2 linked regions of the Ovis aries genome follow. The protein of the gene in region 2 interacts with the protein of the main gene of each other region in a biochemical or structural test. Links are inferred from orthologs where the notes say so. Each region holds a gene or a part of one and is shown on either strand. Other genes may lie near its edges.

Region 1 (10,516 bases), on a different chromosome or scaffold from region 2:
CAGCAAATTTGGAAAACTCAGCAGTGGCCAGAGGACTGGAAAAGGTCAGTTTTCATTCCAATTCCAAAGAAAAGCAATGCCAAAGAATGCTCAAACTACCGCACGATTGCACGCATCTCACATGCTAGTCAAGTAATGCTCAAAACTCTCCAAGCCAGGCTTCAGCAGTACATGAACCGTGAAATCCCTGATGTTCAAGCTGGTTTTAGAAAAGGCAGAGGAACCAGATATCAAATTGCCAACATCTGCTGGAACATGGAAAAAGCAAGAGAGTTCCAGAAAAACATCTCTTTCTGCTTTATGGACTATGCCAAAGCCTTTGACTGTGTGGATCACAATAAACTGTGGAAAATTCTGAAACAGATGAGAATACCAGACCACCTGACCTGCCTTTTGAGAAATCTGTATGCAGGTCAGGAAGCAACAGTTAGAACTGGACATGGAACAACAGACTGGTTCCAAATAGGAAAAGGAGTACGTCCAGGCTGTATATTGTCACCCTGCTTATTTAATTTCTATGCAGAGTACGTCATGAGAAACACTGGACTGGAAGAAACACAAGCTGGAATCAAGATTGCCAGGAGAAAAATCAATAACCTCAGATATGCAGATGACACCACCCTTATGGCAGAAAGTGAAAAAGAACTAAAGAGCCTCTTGATGAAAGTGAAAGAGGAGAGAGAAAAAGTTGGCTTAAAGCTCAACATTCAGAAAACAAAGATCATGGCATCCAGTCCCATCACTTCATGGCAAATAGATGGGGAAACAGTGGAAACAGTGGCTGACTTTATTTTGGGGGGCTCCAAAATCATTGCAGATGGTGATTGCAGCCATGAAATTGAAAGATGCTTACTTCTTGGAAGAAAAGTTATGACCAACTTAGACAGCATATTAAAAAACAGAGATATTACTTTGTCAACAAAGTTCTGTCTAGTCAAGGATATGGTTTTTCCAGTAGTCAGGTATGGATGTGAGAGTTGGACTGTGAATAAGGCTGAGCACCGAAGAATTGATGCTTTTGAACTGTGGTGTTGGAGAAGACTCTTGAGAGTCCCTTGAACTGCAAGGAGATCCAACCACTCTATCCTAAAGGAAATCAGTCCTGAATGTCCATTGGAAGGACTGATGTTGGAGCTAAAACTCCAATACTTTGGCCACCTGATACGAAGAGCTGACTCATTTGAAAAGACCCTGATGCTGAGAAAGATTGAAGGCAGGAGGAGAAGGGGACGACAGAGGATGAGATGGTTAGATGGCATCACTGACTCAATGGACATGAGTTTGGATAAACTCTGGGAGTTGGTGATGGACAGGAAAGCCTGGTGTGCTGTGATTCGTGGGGTCACAAAGAGTCGGACACGACTGAGCGACTGAACTGAACTGAGACAAAAAAATATGAATAATACAATTTGAGTAATACTATTCACAAGCTTGTACTAATTGACAGTTATAAAACAGTTGAAGGTTTCAACACTCCTGTTGGGAACTGACAGAACATTTAGAGAAAAGAAATCAGTAAAGATCTATCAGTTCAGTTCAGTTCAGCTCAGTCACTCAGTTGTGTCCGACTCTTTGTGACCCTATGAATCGCAGCACGCCAGGCCTCCCTGTCCATCACCATGTCCCGGAGTTCACTCAGACTCACATCCATCGAGTCCATGATGCCATCCAGCCATCTCATCCTTAGTCGTCCCCTTCTCCTACTGCCCCCAATCCCTCCCAGCATCAGAGTCTTTTCCAATGAAGATACAATAAAGATATAAAATATTAAAGTGTCTTTCAAAAAGACACAATCAATTTGACCTGATATTTATAGAATACTCAACCAAGCAGAATACAAATTCTTTTCAAGTGCACATAAAACATTTACCAAGATAAATCGTATTCATGGCCACAAAACAAGTTTCAATACATCTGGAATAATATAAAATTGTTCTTTGACCACAATGGAACTGAAATTTAATAACAGGAAGATATATGGAAAAGTCCCCAATATTTGGAAATTAACCACAGCTATAGTCAAATACCATGTCAAAGAAGAAATCACAAGGGCAACTAGAACACATGTTGAATTAACTGGAAAAAAAAGACAACATCGTTTATGGAATGTAGCTAGAGCAGTGTATGGAGAAAAATGAATGGCGTTACTTACACATGATAAAAATCACAAATCTTTTATCTAAGCTTAAAGAACTAGAAAAAAGCAAGTTAAACCTAAACCAGAAGAAAGGAAATGATAAAGATAAAAGAAATTAATGAAATAAAAATTTAAAATTAGAGAAAATGAATAAAATTCAAAGCCACTTCTTTGAAAAAAATAAAACTAATAATCCTCTAGCCCAGAGATTGGCTAACTTTCTATAAACGGCCAGATAATAAATCTTTTAGACTTTGGGAGCCATACAGTCTACTTAACTTGCAACTACTGAACGTGACAATTGTGGCATGTATACCCTATGTAAACCAATGAGCATGACTATGTTCTCATACATTTTTATTTACAAAAACAGGCAGCAGGACAGATTTAGTACAACAGTTAAAAGTTTGATTCTTTATTCTAGCCAGACCCAATAGCCAGGAGAGAAGATATCACAACTACCAAAATTAGAGATGAAAAATGTACATCACTATAGATTGCATAGACTCCATGATCAGCCAGCTATCCCAGCCGGCCAGGATGCAGAAACCATGTGCCTTCAGTGATAATACACATTTATTGAGTAACTAATTTATACTTATGGGCAAAGCAAAGATCCCTGCTCTCCTGGAACTTTGCTTCTACTCAGGGAGACAGAATAAACAATATACACAATGCATTTGTAGATTATCTTATATTTCATTCAGAAGTTGCTAAGAACTGTGAAGGAAAATGAAAGTAGGACCGGGGAAGGAGAGTGGGAGTTTCAAATGGGGTGAGGTCCAGGAAGATCTCATTGAGGAAGGAGCATTTGAGCCAAGACCTGAGGGTGGTGATGCAGCAGCCCAAGGGGAAAAATGTCCCAGGCAGAGGGAACAGACGGAACATAGGACTCGAGGCAGAACAAAGGCCCCAGTGGTCGGAGCATAGTGAATAAGTGGGAGAAACATGGGGAAAGACATCAGACTTGTACTGGGGAAGCCACAGTTACAGGGTCTTATGGTCTATGGGGCAGGAAGTCCAGCAGGAGAGGGTTGCCAACACTGGAAGGATGAACCACACGAATAAAAGGAAAATGATCATTTAAAAAATTAAAGCCAGTAATAGTGGGCTTGGCAGAGCTACAGTGGGGTCACTCCAAGAACCCGTCCCTTGAGTCATGGGATCAGGGGAGAGCTAGTGAGATTTCTCCTGTCTCCTGCATAAGGACATGCACTCCAGAGGCTGAGCACACCTACCCGTCCGTTCTCCATCTCCTGACAGGCCATCAGGATGACCTAGACATAGGGGTAAGGGAGGAGAATCAGTTTAGGGGGTGCAGTTATCAGGGCCAAGGGAGGACCCAGAATACTGGCCACACCTCCCCTTCCCCCAAAGCTGACCTTGACCCCAAATTCCCAGATGAGGCGCCAGAAGTCTAGCAAGGTGTGAGGCAGGGGTCCTTGCGTGGCGATGTAGGCCTGGCTTCCGTCTGCACCCTGGTAAAGTCTAAGTTCACTATCGAGGTTCTGCTGTCACCTCCACCACCTCTGCCCCTTTCCTGACTCCCAGCCTGACCCTGATGAAGTTGCCATTGATGTAGTCGCCATGTCCCTCTTCCTGGAGCAGGGAAAGGATCACTCGTGTCTGATCGTCTGCCAGCAGAAGTGAGAAACATGGACTTTGTGGGTGACAGCCCTGATGGCCTCCCAGATGAAAGCCAGCAGGGGACGGCACACCTGGGGGGATCCCATCAGGGTGCACTGGTGGGATGCTGGGGATAAATGCAGCCAGAGCAGGGCTCCTGGAGGGAGAGTTCTGGGAAGCCAGTAGGACACAGGGACCCTGGTTAGCACCTGGATCCCACAGCGTGGGGGCACCGACTCCTCCGGAGGCCCCACCCCCACCCCAACTTACAAGGCAGCACATCCTTGTAACGGTTCTTCCTCAGGTTCTCGGGGCGACTGCCGGCCTCCGTTGAGCACACGCTTTCCGTCTTCCAGGCGGCTGAGTGGGCCCGGATGTCCTGGTGGGAGGACCGCAAGAAGACCCGGGGGTGGGAAGAGAGAGCAAGAGAGGAGCCAGATCAGAGGCCTGGGACACTGAGGCTCTCAAAGGGATATGCGGCAAGTGCCCTATGAAAGGTGAGTGCTGCGTCCAGATAGTGTTGCTGCTGCTAAGTCGCTTGAGTCGTGTCCGACTCTGTGCGACCCCATAGACGGCAGCCCACCAGGTTCCCCCGCCCCTGGGATTCTCCAGGCAAGAACACTGGAGTGGGTTGCCATTTCTTCTCCAACGCATGAAAGTGAAAAGCGAAAGTGAAAGCCCTCAGTCGTGTCCGACTCTTAGCGACCCCATGGACTGCAGCCTACCAGGCCCCTCCGTCCATGGGATTTTCCAGGCAAGAGTCCTGGAGTGGGTTGCCATTCCCTTCTCCAATATTGATTCAATAACAGTAGCCATTCAGAGTGCCCTCTCTATGCTAAGCCCTGTGTAAGGGCATTGAACTATCTGCAAGGTGCCTCCGAAGTTGGTATTATTGACTCCCCGTTGTGCAGTAAGAAAGCTGAGGCACCACATGTGTCAGTGACTTTCTGAAAGTGCCACCCAGGAAGTGGGTGAGTGTTGAACTCAGACCTCTGAGCATCTGTCCCCATACCCTCAGTGTGTATTTACATCTTATCATGAACAATAATTGTAATATATTATGTACTTAACATAACAAACATGATACACAAGAAGATAATATACAATGTATATGAATTAAATGTATAACATTACTTATGTAGATACTATTAGGTGCTTTAATACTGTTAGATTGTTATGATCAGTGAATAGTATTGCCATCATCACCAGGCATTCATAATCATGACAATAATAAATAACACCTACCAAGCCACCGTGACTGCAAGCCACCATTCTAAGTGTTCTTACACCCATCAGGTAGGTTATTTAAGTCTTCATGGACACATTTCTGCAGTAGATACCACTATGGATATTTCTACTATGTAGATAAGGAAACCAAGGCCCAGAGAGGCCTTGGAAGATTCTTGTGAGCGCAGGAGATTGCAGGAGGCTGGCCTCCAGCAACTGGCACTGCTCACCACCCAGCTTCTGCATAGGGATTGTCAGCACTGCTCACTGTCCCAAACTGGACCCAGACCTGGATGGATATGATGTCATGTACTACCTGGGTATCATATGTTTAGATTTATTATGCACATTTTCATATTGCATAAATTATATATTCTGCATTTATTACACAGTTCTTATACATAATATTTATTTTATATTTGTATAAAGATGTATACTTTTATTATTGTTTCTTAGAAACTTGAATAACTGCTCATTTTATAAATGAGTTTTCATGTTTATTCTGTTCTATGAAATTAATGTATAAGTTATAGTTTATGACATATTTATACATATACACTATATATTTTATATTAATACAATTACTTCATAAGTCTGTTCTCTATTTCTATTGTTCTTAATGAATATATAGTCATTTATTACTTACATATATTTATCAGACATTTCTAAATTTAAGATGTCACCATATATGATTCTAACACGTTTCTATGTTATTATATTTAAAATATCTCAGTACTTGTACAGTGCGATGCCTACGACGCTGCTGCATTAGCACTCCTTACGTATAGCTTGCACTACCCCACTGTAAAGTTTAGGATTATTTATAACTAGTGGCAAAGCCGCCTATAAAGTAAGCGCTCAAGATGTGCTAAGCGCGGTTTACCCACACTGGCTATTTTAATCCTCAGGTCAGTTTCGTCACATTTCACCCTAGGAGAAACAGAGGCCACAGAGACCGGATAAAGAGCCTCAGGCCACATCGCCTGTAAGAACTGGCCTCCATATCCTCACTGCAGCGGGGCCTCTTGGTTCCTCTTTTCCCAGCCCCTTCCTCCCCAGGACCACAGTGGGGACAGTGACCACCCGGTCGCCTGGAGCGGCCGAGCATCGCGTGAGCGCTCGCCTTCGCTCAGCAACCCGACGATACCGGGAGCGCAGCTAGCGCGCAGGGACCCGAGGGCGTGTGCGGCCCCGCCCGGGCCGGCAGTGGACTTCGCCCTCTGGGGCTCTGCAGGCAGAGGGTGAAGACGGGCAGGGAGAGAGAGAGTGCGACAGAGAGAGGTGCTGGGGAGAGAAAAACAGAGAGATCTCGAAGTGAGAAGACGACCCTGGACGCCGAGAGAGAAGCAAAGTGCAGCAGGGTGCACAGAACAGACGGAGGTCCGAACTGTCCAGGGCGAGGAGCAGGAGCTCGGCAGTCCACACTCGCCCACTCACGCTGAACTCGCCGGCGAAGACCACCCCATCCCTGCCGCCTAGTGCTTCCAGCTGCTCCAAGAAGCTCCGCGCAGCATCCAAGCTGCGGCTCATGGTGCCGCCTGGGAGTGAGGTGCAGTCCACCTGCACCTCCGCTCTCTCGGCTGGGGTAGACTCCGCTGAAGGCAGCCCAGGCCCCACCTCAGATCTCGCCGGCCAATGGGAGTGCTCAGCGGCAGACAGGGCGCGCCCCTCAGCCAATGACACTCAGAGCCCGCCCCAGCCCCGCCCACAGGCTACCGGACTGGGGGCGCTAGGTTCCCCTGGCTGCGCGTGGGGCTAGAAAACTGCGCCGGCGCTTCAATTTTTTTGTCTCCGCGCGGGCTGGATGAGTCCCTATGGTCCTATGGACACCGCCTCTAGCTTGGGCCCGGGGTCCACGCCCTGGCATGGCGGATGGCTACATGCCCTCGCCCGGCCTCCAGGGAGCTGGACGTATCCGGATCCCAACCGGGGTGGCGTGTCAGCTGTGAGTAAAGACGGCTGCCTAGATGAAGCTGAAATTCCTGACTGGGAAACCCTATGTGGAGACCTTACCCCGCTCTGCGCTCCGGCGGAGTCCAAGGGAGGTTGGGAGAGGTTGCCGCGGGGGGAAATGACAGCCGGGCACCTGAGCTGCGAGAAAGACAAAATTTCTTGAGGTTCCTTCTTTTTCTGGGTCGGGCCAGGAGGAGCCGAGGGAGCCAGGATCATCCTAATTTGGGAATCTCAAGCTGTATAAAACTTCCAGGAAACTGAGAATTGAGGTTTTGGGAGTGGGTTCCAGGGATCTAGATGTTCTCAACGCTTTTAAGGATTTTTTTTTTTTTTTCATTCTCATACTGTCGTCTTCAGAAAATGGGGAGAAGGCCAGAGGACAGCTGCTGCCCGGGAGCCACAAAGGGAGAGAGTAGGTAGGAGCCAGGGGCCCCTGCCAAGGGCCGTTCAGTGTAGGTGAGCTACCCCATCCTTCACTTTGGAGGTAAGGAGTGTGAACCTAATTCATTAGGGAGTTATCAGAATGTTGTCACAGACAGGCAAACTGTTTCTTAAACGACTGAGGTCTCTGGCTCTTGTCCCAGCCACTCAACTTCGACAGGCAGGATGAAAGCAACCATAGGTCATATGTAAAGGGATAAGCATGGCTGTATTCCAAACTTTATTTGTGGACTTTAAATTTTAATTTCATGTGTCAGTCTTTTTTCTTTGGTGGGCTGCAGGCTGTAGGTTGCCAATCCCTGTTTAAGTGACTGAGAAGGCAAAAAGCAGGTCAGTAGGGATGTTTCACTTATTGAGGGATTGAGTCACTGCTGACTCACTGTCATCTTTGAAAGTTCAGAGGTCAGTAGTGGCCACCAAGGATTGACGTTATCAGTGAGTTCATTGCAGGCCAGTGAGAGGTCCTTCGACGTTCATGAGACTGTCAGTAGATGTCAGTGGCAGTTACTGGGAGGTCAGTGATAGACTGAAAGTAACCAGGGAGCCATTGGGACTTGGAGTGTTAGTTTACCAAGTAATTGAGGGGTCAAAAGGGTCAGACAAGTTCATTGAGGACCCCTAACCAGGGCTCGATAGTGAATGTCAGTGTAATCACTGAGATTTCTTGGATGGTCTCAGGACTCAGTTGTTGCACTCAGGGTGGTGGGATAAAGAAGCATCACTGAACTTTGAGAAAATATGGAGGTCCATTGGAGGAGTCACAGAGACACTTGAGCCCCTGAGTAATCATGGACACTAATAGCAATCATTTGGGGATAGTGGACACCAGGGTGAAGGAGGAATATCCACTGCGGATCACAAATGGGCTTTCTGAACCCTGCTAGTAGTGAATGTCATTGGATGTCAGTAGTCACTGGAAACTGTCAACCTGGAGAGCAGAGGCAACACTGAGGCTCAGTGAGCCCTGCGTATCTGTGGTGGTGACCAGGAAACAGGGCAGCTAATGCAGCAAATGGGTTCTGGCTAGCTGGGGGATCTCTGTTCCACTAGGGGCTGGAGGTGTGTTTGTCCAACAGGATGGGGTGTCTATATCTATCTGTCCCCCTGGTTTAGGGGACATCTGTCTATCCTGAGCACCTTTCTGATAGGCTGGGGTCTTTCTTACTGGCAGAGTTAAGTCTGCCAAGCTAAAGATCTGGCTGGATAGTTGGCTGGGTAGTAGGATGTCTTTCCACTGTCTCTCTGCCCAGTGGTGGTACTTTGTCTATTCCTGAAGGATTCTGTCTTTCCGTTGGCTGGAAGCAGGGTGGGAGGGGTGTCCTGTCTGGACACAGGTCTCTCTGCATGCCTGGCTGGTCATCTTCCCACCTGTCTAAGAATCTGTCCATTGTTTGGCTGTCTTGCTATGTAGTCTTTGCCTGGGACTTTATCTGGAAGTCTGTCTTACCAGAGGTTTGTGTGTCTGTCTGCCTGTCTGGGGATCTATCTGCCTATCTGGCCTGTGAACAGAGTGGCTGAGACTTCAGTCCACCTGCCCTGCTTCCGCCATGGTTCACTGTTTCTGGGTGCACATTCACCCACAACTCCAACCTTCCTCCCTGGCCCACTCTATGTCCTGCTCTTGTGAAGTGGACTGCCATCCTGACACTGGCCACCCCTCCATGTCTCTTCAGCATCCAGACTCTCCTGGCTTGCCCTCCACTCAGCTCGGGCACTGGGTGTGGGGGGGTGGGAAAACCAGCAAGACCTCCTCCAGCAGCCGTGGCTCACCCCTCTCCATTCTCCCAGAGAACTGCAAGCTGTGTTCTTGCAATGGGACTCACTGCTGCTGCTTGCCCTCTTGCACACACTCCTGGAGGCAAGCAGTGGGAACAACTGGCACTGTCCTGCAGGTCCTGGGCACTCCAACACCCACATGCCAGTCTGCCACCTGCTTGCCAGCTCAGAGGCCAGCAACAGAGCCAAGTGGACAGGGTGCTGGAAGGTGCTCAGGGAAGCTTTCACAATACTGTGCAGAGCCCAGCCTAGGCTGTTGTTACAAAGGGGAAATCGTAAACAGGAGAGACCACCTTCACCTAGAAAGCTTGTGAGGAGACAGTCTGAGACTACTGAATTCCCTACTGAAAAGTTCCTCTCCAAATTCCTTATTTAACTAGGCCACAAGAGGGAAGAAGAAATTTGAAAAAATTCTCCCACTGCTCTTCTCTGTTAAGAACCTTTGGTTGGGTGGGCTTACCTATTGGCCCACCTACAAGTCTGCCATTTGGCAAACAGAAAAATGCCACTCACTCAAGTTATAAATGGCAGTTTGCATTCACCAGTAACTGGTGGTAACTGTCTCTGTGAGGGCTTTTATTCCAGACTCTGGAAACTCTACAAGACAAACCAATTTCCTAACAGAATAAATCACAAAGAAAAAAGTTAAAGAGAACACAAATGCTCATAGCAGCATTATTCAAAACAGCCCCAAAGTGAGAAACCAAATTTCATAAACTGATGGATAAAGAAAATATGGTGTACACTGTTAGGGTCCACAAGGGGCTCATGGCGTATTGTTAAAAAAATGGCCCATTGTAGGTGACCTGACAAACAAGAGATGAAGTCACAGTGACCACAATGCCCTGGTGGTGGGCTGTTTTTTCCTTAAGGCAATATCCTGTTTTTCCCTGCTGATGCCAGTGTCTCAAGACTACATGGCCACCAGTCTCTGCAGGGTCTCTGGTCCTGGCACACACAAGGTTGATTTGAGCCTTCTGAGCATCTCTGCCGGGTATGGGGTTTGATTCTAAGCGTGAATTCGCCCCTCCTACCATCTTGCTGGGGCTTCTCAGCCCTCGGACGTGGGGTATCTCCTCACAGCTGCTCCAGCGCCACGCAGTGGCTGCTCCAGAGCCTACTGTCTTGCTGGGGCTTCTCCGACCTTGAACATGAGTTCAAGGGTTTGAGTGTCTCCAGTGGAGGTACGGGTCAGCAGTGGCCTGCCGCAGGGGCAGGGGCTCTGGGTACAGCAAACCTGGGTATGGCATAAGCCCGCTTGGAGGAGGCCGCCATTAACCCCACCACAGAGCTGCCAGGACTTACAAAGCCCTTGGAAATAGACTCTTGGAGGGCACAAACAGAACCTTGTGCATA
Region 2 (9,720 bases):
CTGAAGGGGCCTGCTGGGAGGGCCTCTGGTCAGGCTACCCCCCAGGCAGTAAGTGTCTCGCAACTGGGCTGTCAGCTGAGACATGGCGGCCTCCTGGGGCTGCAAGAGAAGGCCACTCGGGCTAGGGCAGCCCTGAGAGACCAGCCTTTTGTCCCCTCGGTTTGTCACAACCTGGGGCTTCTTCCCTGGCTTTTCCTCCAAGCTGCTCCCTTCTCCCGCTCCCTGCCTGAGACACAGCAAGCTAGCAAGTCAGGAGCAGGGGTGTTTGCTATTCCCCAGGACAGCCAGCCCTTGTCTTGCAAGCACATCATTCTCCTGGGCTGTGCCCCCTCCCCAGGGCACAGGCTTTGGGAGTCAGTGTAGCCAGCCAAGCCCCAAGGAGATGCCTCAGTCCCAGTGGATCTGGGGTCCAGCTCTGTACCCCTCGCCTCAAAGCAGGGACAAATTAGAGTCTCTGGGGGTCTGGGCACAGCTGCCCTGTGGCTCCTTGACTCGTCCTCCCCTTGTGGGCTTCAGAAAATCAACCATGCACAGCTGAGGACCTAGTTCCGACCATGACTTGCTCTGGGCACCCATGGTCATGGGGAACAAGGCCTTTACCCACGGATGCAGAGCCTGCCCCTCAGACCACTTCCTCGGGTAGCTCCAGCTCCACCAGCTGGCTGCACACATGCATAGCCCAAGCAGTGCCCACACCTGCCTGGACGCCACATGACCCAGGGCCTGGTGCCGTTCATGAGCTTTCATTCAGCAGGTGTGCACCAGGCCCTTCCTGAATGTCAGGTGCTATTCTAAGGGCACCCACCCCAGCACCCTCAGAGTGCATGTGCCCACATGTGAGCACACCCTTGGGCATGCTGGTGTCCACGCAAGGAGGGGAGGGCAGGGGGCCTCACCTGTGCTGTGTAGTCATAGAGTGCCCTATAGTCCTGGCCTGGCACGGTGGGGGGCCCTGGCGCCTCCTGCACGGCGATGGCAGCGTAGACACCCTCATTCCGGTCAGGGGTAGGAGTCAGGGTCTCTGTGGAGGCTGAGTACAAAGTGAGGCCTGGTGCCCACTCCTTGCAAAAATCAGTAGTCCCCAGAGGCCCCCTGACTCACAGCATCCCCAGACTCACAGCATCCCCAGACTTGCTCAGCTTCTTCCCATCCCCTAACCTCCCAGCTGTTGGAAGGCCCATCTGTGCCAAGTAGGCATCCTCTCCTCTTCCTCCCCCCAGCCAGGGTGACAGTTGTCACCCCCAATTACCCGCAGAAGCCGGTGACGGTGTGGTCTTGGGACTTCCGTGCAGCAGCCCAGAAAACCTGGGGGCAGGAAGGACAGGTGAGTCGGAGTGGGGGGAGTGGATGAGGCAGGGAGCCCGCAAGGTCGGCCCTAGCTTCCGGGCACAGATGTGACTTATGAGGTGCCCCTGGGCATGAGGGCTCTCCAAAGGGTGGTCCCAGTGGCTCTTCCCCGGCAGCACCCTCCCAGTCCCTTACCCTGTAGATGTCTTCTCGGTACCTGTTCCCTGCAGGGCCAAACTGGCGGCTCTGAGACTTCTGTGCTCCAGGGCCTGGGCCCCATCTGGCCAGCCTCCCCACAGGCAAAGGAGCTGCCCCTAGAGCTCAGCCCACTCACACCCTGCGGGACCTTCACCAGCCTGGCCAGCCCTACTACTCCCCGACCACACAAAGCGGTCGTCCAGGAGGAAGTGTTGGGCTGATTCACCCCCTTCCTCTGTGCTTGGTTCAGACCTGGACTGAGCTAGACTTATGCAAGTATGTTGAATACAAGAAAAAAAAATGTGCAAGAAGCAAGAGGCAGACACTGGGGCACCTGGTACGGAGGCCCGTGTGGGTGCCCTGAAGCAGAGCTGCTGAGAGCTTACATGAGTAGAACCTACCTTCCTGGCCTGGTAGGTTCAAGCTAAGTCTGCAAAGACTCAGCTTCACCAAACAGAGACCGGGTGCCAGGCATGGCCAGTGACTGGGAGAGGAGTGCAGAGGTGCAGGTCGTACAGGCAGAGGGAGTGGAGTGGACCAGTTTGGGGTGTATAGGAGACAAGACTGAAAGAGGGACGAGGCCAGACACCGAGGGGTCTTGAGGGCTCAGGCAGGGGCAGGGCCTGTAGGAAGCTGCCCTGTAGTGCGAGGTGGGACCCAGAGACCTTTCCTGGGCAGCGTCTGCGGAGCTGAGGGTCCAGGACAGAGCACATGGATAGGCGAGTGTAGACTTGGCAGGCGTGGGAAGGTCTGATGCAGACTTGCCCTGCCAGGGAGGGTTAGCCCAGCAGGCTGGGGCTGGAGGCGCCGCGCCCCACTGCCTGCCTTCCCAGGGTCATCTACGCTCTCGACTCCATTCTTCCCTCCACTCACTTCCCCTGCCCCTCCCCAGCCCTGCCTGGCTTCAGCTGCCCCACACAAGGGTCCCTGCCTGTCCTCTCCAGCAGCCAGGCCTCCCCTGCAGGACTGCTTTCCCTCTTTTCTCTCGTCCTCATCAGGCCCCTCTCCTCTCTGTCCTTTCTCGGCCCTGCCCCCAAGTGAGCTCTTCAGACCTGTTGTCTAAGTGACCACCTGTGCAGGCATCTGGCCCTCACTGGGGGTGCAGGGAGGTCCGAGTCTCCTGTGGTTTTGGTGTGATAGTGAGGGTGGGAATGCCCACCTCCTAGGGTCCTTGCTGTCTCATGGTTCCTGGAGGAGCATGCCGTGGGGCCCACGAGCCTCAGAAATAAGCCATCCTCGGAGGGCCAGAAGCTCCGTTGCCTCCACCCCCACCCACACCCACCTTTCAAAGGCAGGGCCTCCTCTGCACTAGGTTGGAGGGAGAGAGGAGGTCATGGAGGCCTGGGGATGGGGCACAGGTGCCATGTGAAGGCCACGATGCTCCTTTAGATGCCCACAGATGGGGCACTTGGGGAACTGGCTGGGGGAGTGGGAGGGTGGGTGCACCCTGAGTAGGCTATGATGCTCCCAGTGGGCTGTCATCACAGACCTGAACCAGGAGGGTCCTAGGTCTGAGTCTGCCCACAACACTCACAGGCCCTGGGCCTAGAGGAGGCGTGTGAGTTGTGCAAGTGACACACTGGGGCCTGACGCCAGGACCCTGGCACCTACCACAGCCAGGCCAGGGAAGGGGGCTTGGAGAAAGCTGGAGAATTCTCCAAGAGCGCTGGCTGCAGGGCCCGCTCCTCTGCCCTGATCCTGTGCAGCGGCTGAGGGGCCTGACAGTCCAAGGCTCCGACCAGGCCAGCAGCAGAGCTCGAGGGGTGAGCCCTCCTGGAGTCTCCCAGCACAGTTGCTAGTGAATAAGTGGGGTACGACTGTTTCGTGCCTGGCTCCCCTTGGGCTGAGGGTGTCCTGAGGCTAGATTGAGTCTGTCTTGTCCCCCAAGAGTGCCCCCCACCTAGACATTGCACCAGGCACACAATAGGTGCCCAATAAATACGTGGGGAAGAGCCAGTTGCAGGAGGAGGGGCTGGCCCCTTCCTGGCAGCTCACCTCCTCTGGCCCCGCTCTGTGTGTCCCAGCCGGCTGGTGTCCAGCAGGCGCTCACCTCTTTATCATGCCACAGGATGGCTGGACGCCAGGGCTGCTGGACAACGGGGCCACCTCCCGATCGTAGTAGTTCTGGTAAGGCACCGGCGCTGCAGGTGACAAGTGTGAGAGGCCCAGGCTGACGAGGGCAGGGCAGGGGGTACCTGTGCCCTCTGACACCCCATCCTCTCCCCCTCCGGAGACCCAGACCAGGGCCCACCTTCCCATCCTGGCCCTGGCCTGCCCTGGTGCTTGAGGAGGGGGCCCCCTTTCACTTCCCTGAGAGACCCCACTGTGGGTACCACTGAGACCGAACGTTCTAGACTCAAGATTTAGCGGTGCCAAACCGTGGAGTGGAGTGGGGGCTCTGAGGCGGCTCCTGCCTCTCCCTACCTCTGTCCCCCCTCGAGTGTTACAGTGTCCTAGGCCCTGCCTGTCCTCTCTCTCGAGGAGGCAGCACATTAAGGACCCAGCCAGGGGCCTGCTCTGTCCCTGACCTTCCCCTGGGCCTGGCACCCAGAAGGGAGCTGTGAGCCACCCTGCTTCTGTCCTGGCAGTTGAGGCTCAGAGAACCCAGGCCAGGCCTTCCAGGGAAGGAGGACCTGGACCCAGCAGCCGTGTTGCCCACAGGCAAGCCTCACCTGGGGGCTCGGTGCCTGTGCTCTTGGCCTGGATGAAGCCGTCAATGTCGGCGTCCACACTGCAGCCTTCCAGCGTCACCCGCACCTCTTCGTAGAGCTGGGGGTGGGGGGAAGCAGAAGCTGAGGGGCCAGGCTTCACCTGGCCCACAGTATCAAGCCTGCCCCCCTCTTTGGGTCTGAACCCTGACCGGGGGCCTTGAGGTGTAACTGCTGCAGGCCTGCCTGAAGGGCTAGAGCCCTGGCTGGCAGCTTCTCCTGTTTCCTGAGCACCTAGTGTGTGCACATTCCTTCTCCATCCTCTATGGGAGACAGGACTTCCTCCTTTATAGATGAGAAAGCTCTGGAGAGTGACTTGCCCAAGATCCCACAGCAGGAAATGAAGTCAGTGCGCTGGGCTTTGGGTCTAGCATGAGAGGGTTCAGAACTCATACTCCCTCCTCTGCTACAATGAGGCCACCAGGTGGGCTCAAGTCATTTGGGGGGGAAAGCGCCCAAAACTCCACACCCGTGGGCAGAAGGGATTAGGCAAGTAACAGTGGTGGGTCAGGGCAGAAAACGAGCAAGCGAGGGCTGCATCAGCAGAGATCGAGGCCCCTGGCAGGGAGGTGGCCACCCCTTTCTGCTGAGCAGGGCCCACCTGGCACGTAGAGCTCAGTAAGGCGGGGGAGCCAGGACACCCTAGAGATGTCTGGGGACAGAAGAGGGACTGGACCTCGGCTCCTGCAAGCACCAGGCCTGGAGCAGGGCAACCCCAGGGTCCCCCAGCCTCTGTAAACCTCTGAGGGCCTGGGTCCACCTCCCCTCCCCTCCCTTTCCCAGCAGAGGGAATAGAGCTCTGGGGCTCTGATAGGAGAGCTGAGGCCTCAGGGCTGGGGCGAGCAGAGAGGGCAGACGCCAGGGTAACCACAACGCACGTCTTCCAGGCCAAGAGGCCGTGGCCTGCACAGTCCTGAGCTCCCTGTCGTTGGGGCCTGGGGTAGAGGCTCGGTGCTGGGCTCGGAGACCCTGAGGCCAGGGCTCAGGCCACAGAGGACTAGGTCTGCTCACAGGCTCAGGTGGACCGGCCTCACTGTGGCCCGGAGGCTGCCCTCCCCTCACCCCTCCCCTCTACCCCCTGCCCTCAGCCCCCACCTCATCGTCCTTGACGCACTGCATGGAGAGCTGGTTGCAGTGCACCCACAGGGAGTTGCGGAGGATGGTCAGCCGGTCAAACTCCTGCAACTGGAAGGCCTGAGGAGAGATGGGGTCACAGTAGGGCTTGGCCAAGCCGGGCCCCACCCACAGCGCCGCTGGAGTTGACCAGCCAGAACCGGCCTGCCGAAGCCAAGCCTAAAGGAAGCCTAAAGGCTGGGGGTCCCCACGCCCACCTCTGTGCCAGCCCTTGAGGCTTCTGGGAAGTTGAACTGCCTGTGGGACTCTGCCCCCTGCCCTTCCCCAGACCCTACCACCCCCCTGGGGTGTGTCTTAAGAGAAGCACTGGACCCTGAATCCTGTCTCCCAGGCCCTGCTCATCATCAGAGCCCAGGGAAGCTATGGGTTCTGTTCAAGCCTCAGTTGCGGCTTCAGCCAAAAGGAGCGAAGGATGCCTGCCTGCCTGCCTGCAGAAAGGGACTCCAAGCACAAAGGCAGGCAGGGAGCTCCCTGGGGAGGGCCTTGGAGTGAGCGGATGAGTGAATGAGGGAAGGAAGGCTGGCTTTCCCCACTGCGGTCCCCTCTTCCCCCACGAAGCGGCCGGAGCAGGGACGGGCATCAGCTCCGCACCAAGGGGTCACTCACCTCACAGGTGGCCCGGTGCTCCTGCTCCCACTCATTCCGCACCCTCTCCAGCTGCTCGATGTTCTGCCTGTACACCCGCTCTGGAAGCACACGGGTCCTCAGGGAAGCTAGCCCACCCCTGTGCTCCCTCAGTGCCCTCCTCCTCCCTGGAGGGACCTGCTCTGGCTGCTGGAGCCACAGATGAGCGCTTGTCAGGGCCCCTCACCCTGGTACCGCTCCTGGAGAGGTGCTCAGCGCTCACTGTGTTCCAGCTGCCTCGGGCTGGGGCAGAGCCTAAGGTCAGAGTCTGGGCCTCTCACCATCCCACCTTCCAGATGAGAAGCTGAGGCTCAGAGGGGGTGGCCCTGGAGAAGGATGAAGGGGAGCTTTGGGAGCTGGTGGGCTAGGAAGCCAGCGGGCTTGGACCGTGAGCTCTGTGACCGCCAGCCAAGGGAGCCTCTGCCTGGGTGTTGGGACAGGCGGTGTGGCAGAAGGCAGAGCTGTGTCAGCAGAGATGAGGGCTGTTGGGATCTTCTGGCATCGGGAGGAGGATAGAGGAGACATATGCCCAGAGAAGGCTGTGATGTGTCCCAGTGTATATGAGAGAGAGAGAGAGGTGTACGTGCAACGAGTGGGCCTGTCTCCCTTGATCAGTGGCTGTGAAGGTCCTCAGCCCTGGAGCCAGACGGCTTGCATTCAAATACAGTTACCATGACTTATTGGCTGTGTGACCCTGGGCAAGTTAAATAACCTCTCTGTGCCACAGTTTCCTTACCTGTTAAGAGAGGGATAGTAACAGTGAATACCTCATAGGATTGTTGTGAGCATTAGTAAAAACATACAAAGCACCAAGAACAGTGTTGGCAAATGCGAGAAAATGAATTTTTCATTTTACTTGCATAAGGAAGCAAGAGTGAGGAGCGTGGGACTGTGTCCCAGGGTGGAGGCAGTGTGCTGCCGGGGGAAAGATGTCCGGGCTGCCCACCCCCTAAGCTGAGGAGGCGGGCCAGCCGCGTACCTGCCTCCAGGGCTGAGTCCTTGCACTGCTTGGCTTTGTTTTGGCTCTGAGAAGACAGAGGGAAAGCGGCACTGAGGCCCGGCCCCGCGCCTCCCAGCCCAGACCTCGGGCCCCTGGCCTCCCTGGGCCTCCCTGAAGGGCCTCCGTCACATGGGGCACCTCCCGGCCACCTCTCATGGGGCAGGGAGAGCAGACGCTAGCCCTGAGGGGCCCTCCGGAACCACTCCAGCCTCACCCCACAAAGGACCACAGGCTCTTTCTAATAAAATAGGAATAAAACAGAAACCCGGTCATGCAGACACACGTGAAAACTAGACCTGAAGACCTAGAGCAAGCAATGCAGACCTGGGGCTCTACAGCCACTGCTGGACCTGCTGGTTGGGGCTTGGGCTCTGTCCCTGACTTGCTGCCACCAACTCACCCGCAGGCCCCTGCCCTCTCTGGGCCTCAGCTTTCCTGTCTGTGCAATGGGCCAAATGTGTTCGTGGGTCCTGGGGGCTTTGATATTCCCACCCTGGCCAAGAGGCCGGAGTAGTCAAGAGCTTGGGTTCTGGACAGCCTGGGTTTGAGGTCCTTTCTCTGTTCCTGCCTGGCTCTGAGACCTTGGACAAGTCACTCACCATCTCTGGGCCTGTTTCCTCTCTGGGACATGGGCCTACTGAGCCCTTCTCCGAAGGGTTGGGTGAGGGTTAGTGTCTGCCCTGTGGGCTCTGAGCCTGGGCTGCAGTGGGCCTGCTCTGAGGAATGGGTCGTTGGGTGCAGCCTGGAGACAGCAAAGGGGATCAAACTGACTATCTAGACCTTGAGATTCTAGGAAACCTTGCCTGGGGAAGTCTGCGGCACCCCTTCCCACCCTGCCCCCAGCCCCATGAGATTGCCCAGCCTCGGTGACTGCACGCACCTTCTCCACCTGCTTCTGTTGACCGTTGGTGCTAATGCGCTCAAAGGCCTGTTCAGCGTCATCTGCATCCCGGCACTTCTGCTCATACGTCTTCTTGGACTGGGCAGGGGGGAGGGAGGGGGCGGTGTGGAGGGGCGTGACTTGGGGGCCCCAAGGTGAGGCTCCTGAGCCCAACCTCCCTTCTCCCCGTCGGGCTGTAGATGGAAAGGGGGCCTCCACACCAGGGACAGAGATCTCGGGGTCTGGAATGGAGATGAAGAAGGGAGTCTTGTTCCCAGGCCCCCCTCTCCACTGGGGACAGTGTAGCCTGGTCCATGCCCCCGCCTCTTCAGAGGTGTGGTCACGTCAGACCACCTGCAGGGCTCGGGAAATGCTGTGTTTCATCACGATGCCAGACCCTGTGCACGCGGTCCTTTCAGACAGCTCAGGAGTCCCTTCTCCCTTCACCTGCGGAATCCCCAGCTGCCAGCGTGTGTGACCCTGTGGACCACTGTCTGAGACTGGTTGCTTACCCATCAGTCAGAAGCACCACCCCCAACAAGGGTAGGGGGCAGAGCCCCCGGGCTGATCTGCATGGCACCCTGGCAGCCAGTGCGCCCCAGGAACCTGACAGGCTGCTGTGCCTGTTGCTGGATGGAAGCCTGAGCCCAGCCCTATCCCAAGGCTCCTAGGATCCACACCCCAAACACAGCCGCCCCTCCAGGCTCACCTCCATGGCCTTCTTGTGGAGCGACAGCTTGCTCTTCTGGACACGGTCCATGACAGCCTCGTACTGCAGGGGACATGAGGCTCTGAGCGTGGGGCTGTAGCCTCAGGAGGCTCCCCTAGGCCAAGAGGATGGGGTGTCCCTGGGAGGAGGCCCAGGCTCCCCTCCTGGCTCTGATGGGGCAGTGACAAGCTGCCCTCCCCCTCCATCAGCCTGCTCTCTCACAACTGCTGCTCCCAACAGAAGGCTAGAGGAGCCCGGGGCAAGGATGCACCCCAGGTATCCTCTCCCTGCAGACCACCCCACCCCCCGGCCCAGCCAGGACTTGGTCTCTAGCCAGAGAATACCCAGCCTACACACACACATGCAAATGCACACACACTGCCCTTCACTCACAAGCCTCTGTAACCACGCATAGCAATCACACTCGTGGGAACCCCAGCCACACTGTAGAAGGTGTCATTCTGTCCAAAATAGCTTTTGCAGACATCACAGCCTCACTGGCCACAGGAAAGCTTGAAATAGCCATCCTGGGGCCTCAGAGATGCTCTGCAGGCAAGTCCCAGCTCAGAGAGGTCACCTGCTCCAGCATCTCAAGGCTGGGCTGACTTGTGCGGTGGGCTTTGAGGGCCCACTGTCTGCTCAGGAACCCAAATTTAGAATCCCGAAAGCCTCAGGCCCCAGTTGGGCAGACAGGGAGTATAGCCACGTGAAATGTCTGCGGTCAGAGCCACTCATTGGAGCCGGCACCCTGCCTGTGCAGACAGAGAGGGCCTGGTTCTCGGTTGGGTCCCTGAAGCTTGGGAGGTGGACATAAGCGTCCCATCCTGCAAGAGGGAGACTGAGGCACAGAGAGGGCAAGTGGCTTGGCCAGGACACCCAGCCCCAGGCTGGCCCCAGCCATGAACTGTTGTTTTTTTATTCCCTTCACAGGTCAGTTGTGTGGAAGTTTCCATTTTCAATTCTTTGGACAGTGTACAAAGATGCTCCCTCTCCAAGCAAGAAGTGTTTCTGCGTGCTGACCTCTCCCACCTGTCCAAGTTCCACCCTCATCACTGAGGCCCTGAAAGGCTGATCCTATGTCCACACCTGCCTTCCCAGAGGGCCACATACTCAGCCAATCAGAGAGTCTCAGGCTTGGGAGGGGGCGCTGGGACACAGAGGGTACCAACCCCACCTCTCA

The links. The genes of interacting proteins can lie anywhere in the genome.
Region 1: the proteins of PSTPIP1 (region 2) and PTPN18 form a complex in vitro, tested with the Homo sapiens proteins (2 studies listed by BioGRID and IntAct). The link is inferred for Ovis aries from reciprocal best matches to the Homo sapiens genes PSTPIP1 and PTPN18.

What each region holds. Positions count from the first base shown.
Region 1 is NC_056055.1:114,201,858-114,212,373, reverse strand, and holds the start of PTPN18 (tyrosine-protein phosphatase non-receptor type 18), read right to left. Parts: upstream 6,588-10,516; 5' UTR 6,521-6,587; coding exon 6,428-6,520; intron 4,143-6,427; coding exon 4,034-4,142; intron 3,772-4,033; coding exon 3,695-3,771; intron 3,616-3,694; coding exon 3,520-3,615; intron 3,415-3,519; coding exon 3,376-3,414; intron 1-3,375. UniProt on the Homo sapiens protein: Differentially dephosphorylate autophosphorylated tyrosine kinases which are known to be overexpressed in tumor tissues.
Region 2 is NC_056071.1:29,927,556-29,937,275, reverse strand, and holds part of PSTPIP1 (proline-serine-threonine phosphatase-interacting protein 1), read right to left. Parts: intron 8,604-9,720; coding exon 8,541-8,603; intron 7,931-8,540; coding exon 7,832-7,930; intron 6,977-7,831; coding exon 6,931-6,976; intron 6,014-6,930; coding exon 5,934-6,013; intron 5,388-5,933; coding exon 5,289-5,387; intron 4,255-5,288; coding exon 4,158-4,254; intron 3,627-4,157; coding exon 3,536-3,626; intron 1,306-3,535; coding exon 1,250-1,305; intron 1,031-1,249; coding exon 897-1,030; intron 1-896. UniProt on the Homo sapiens protein: Involved in regulation of the actin cytoskeleton. May regulate WAS actin-bundling activity. Bridges the interaction between ABL1 and PTPN18 leading to ABL1 dephosphorylation.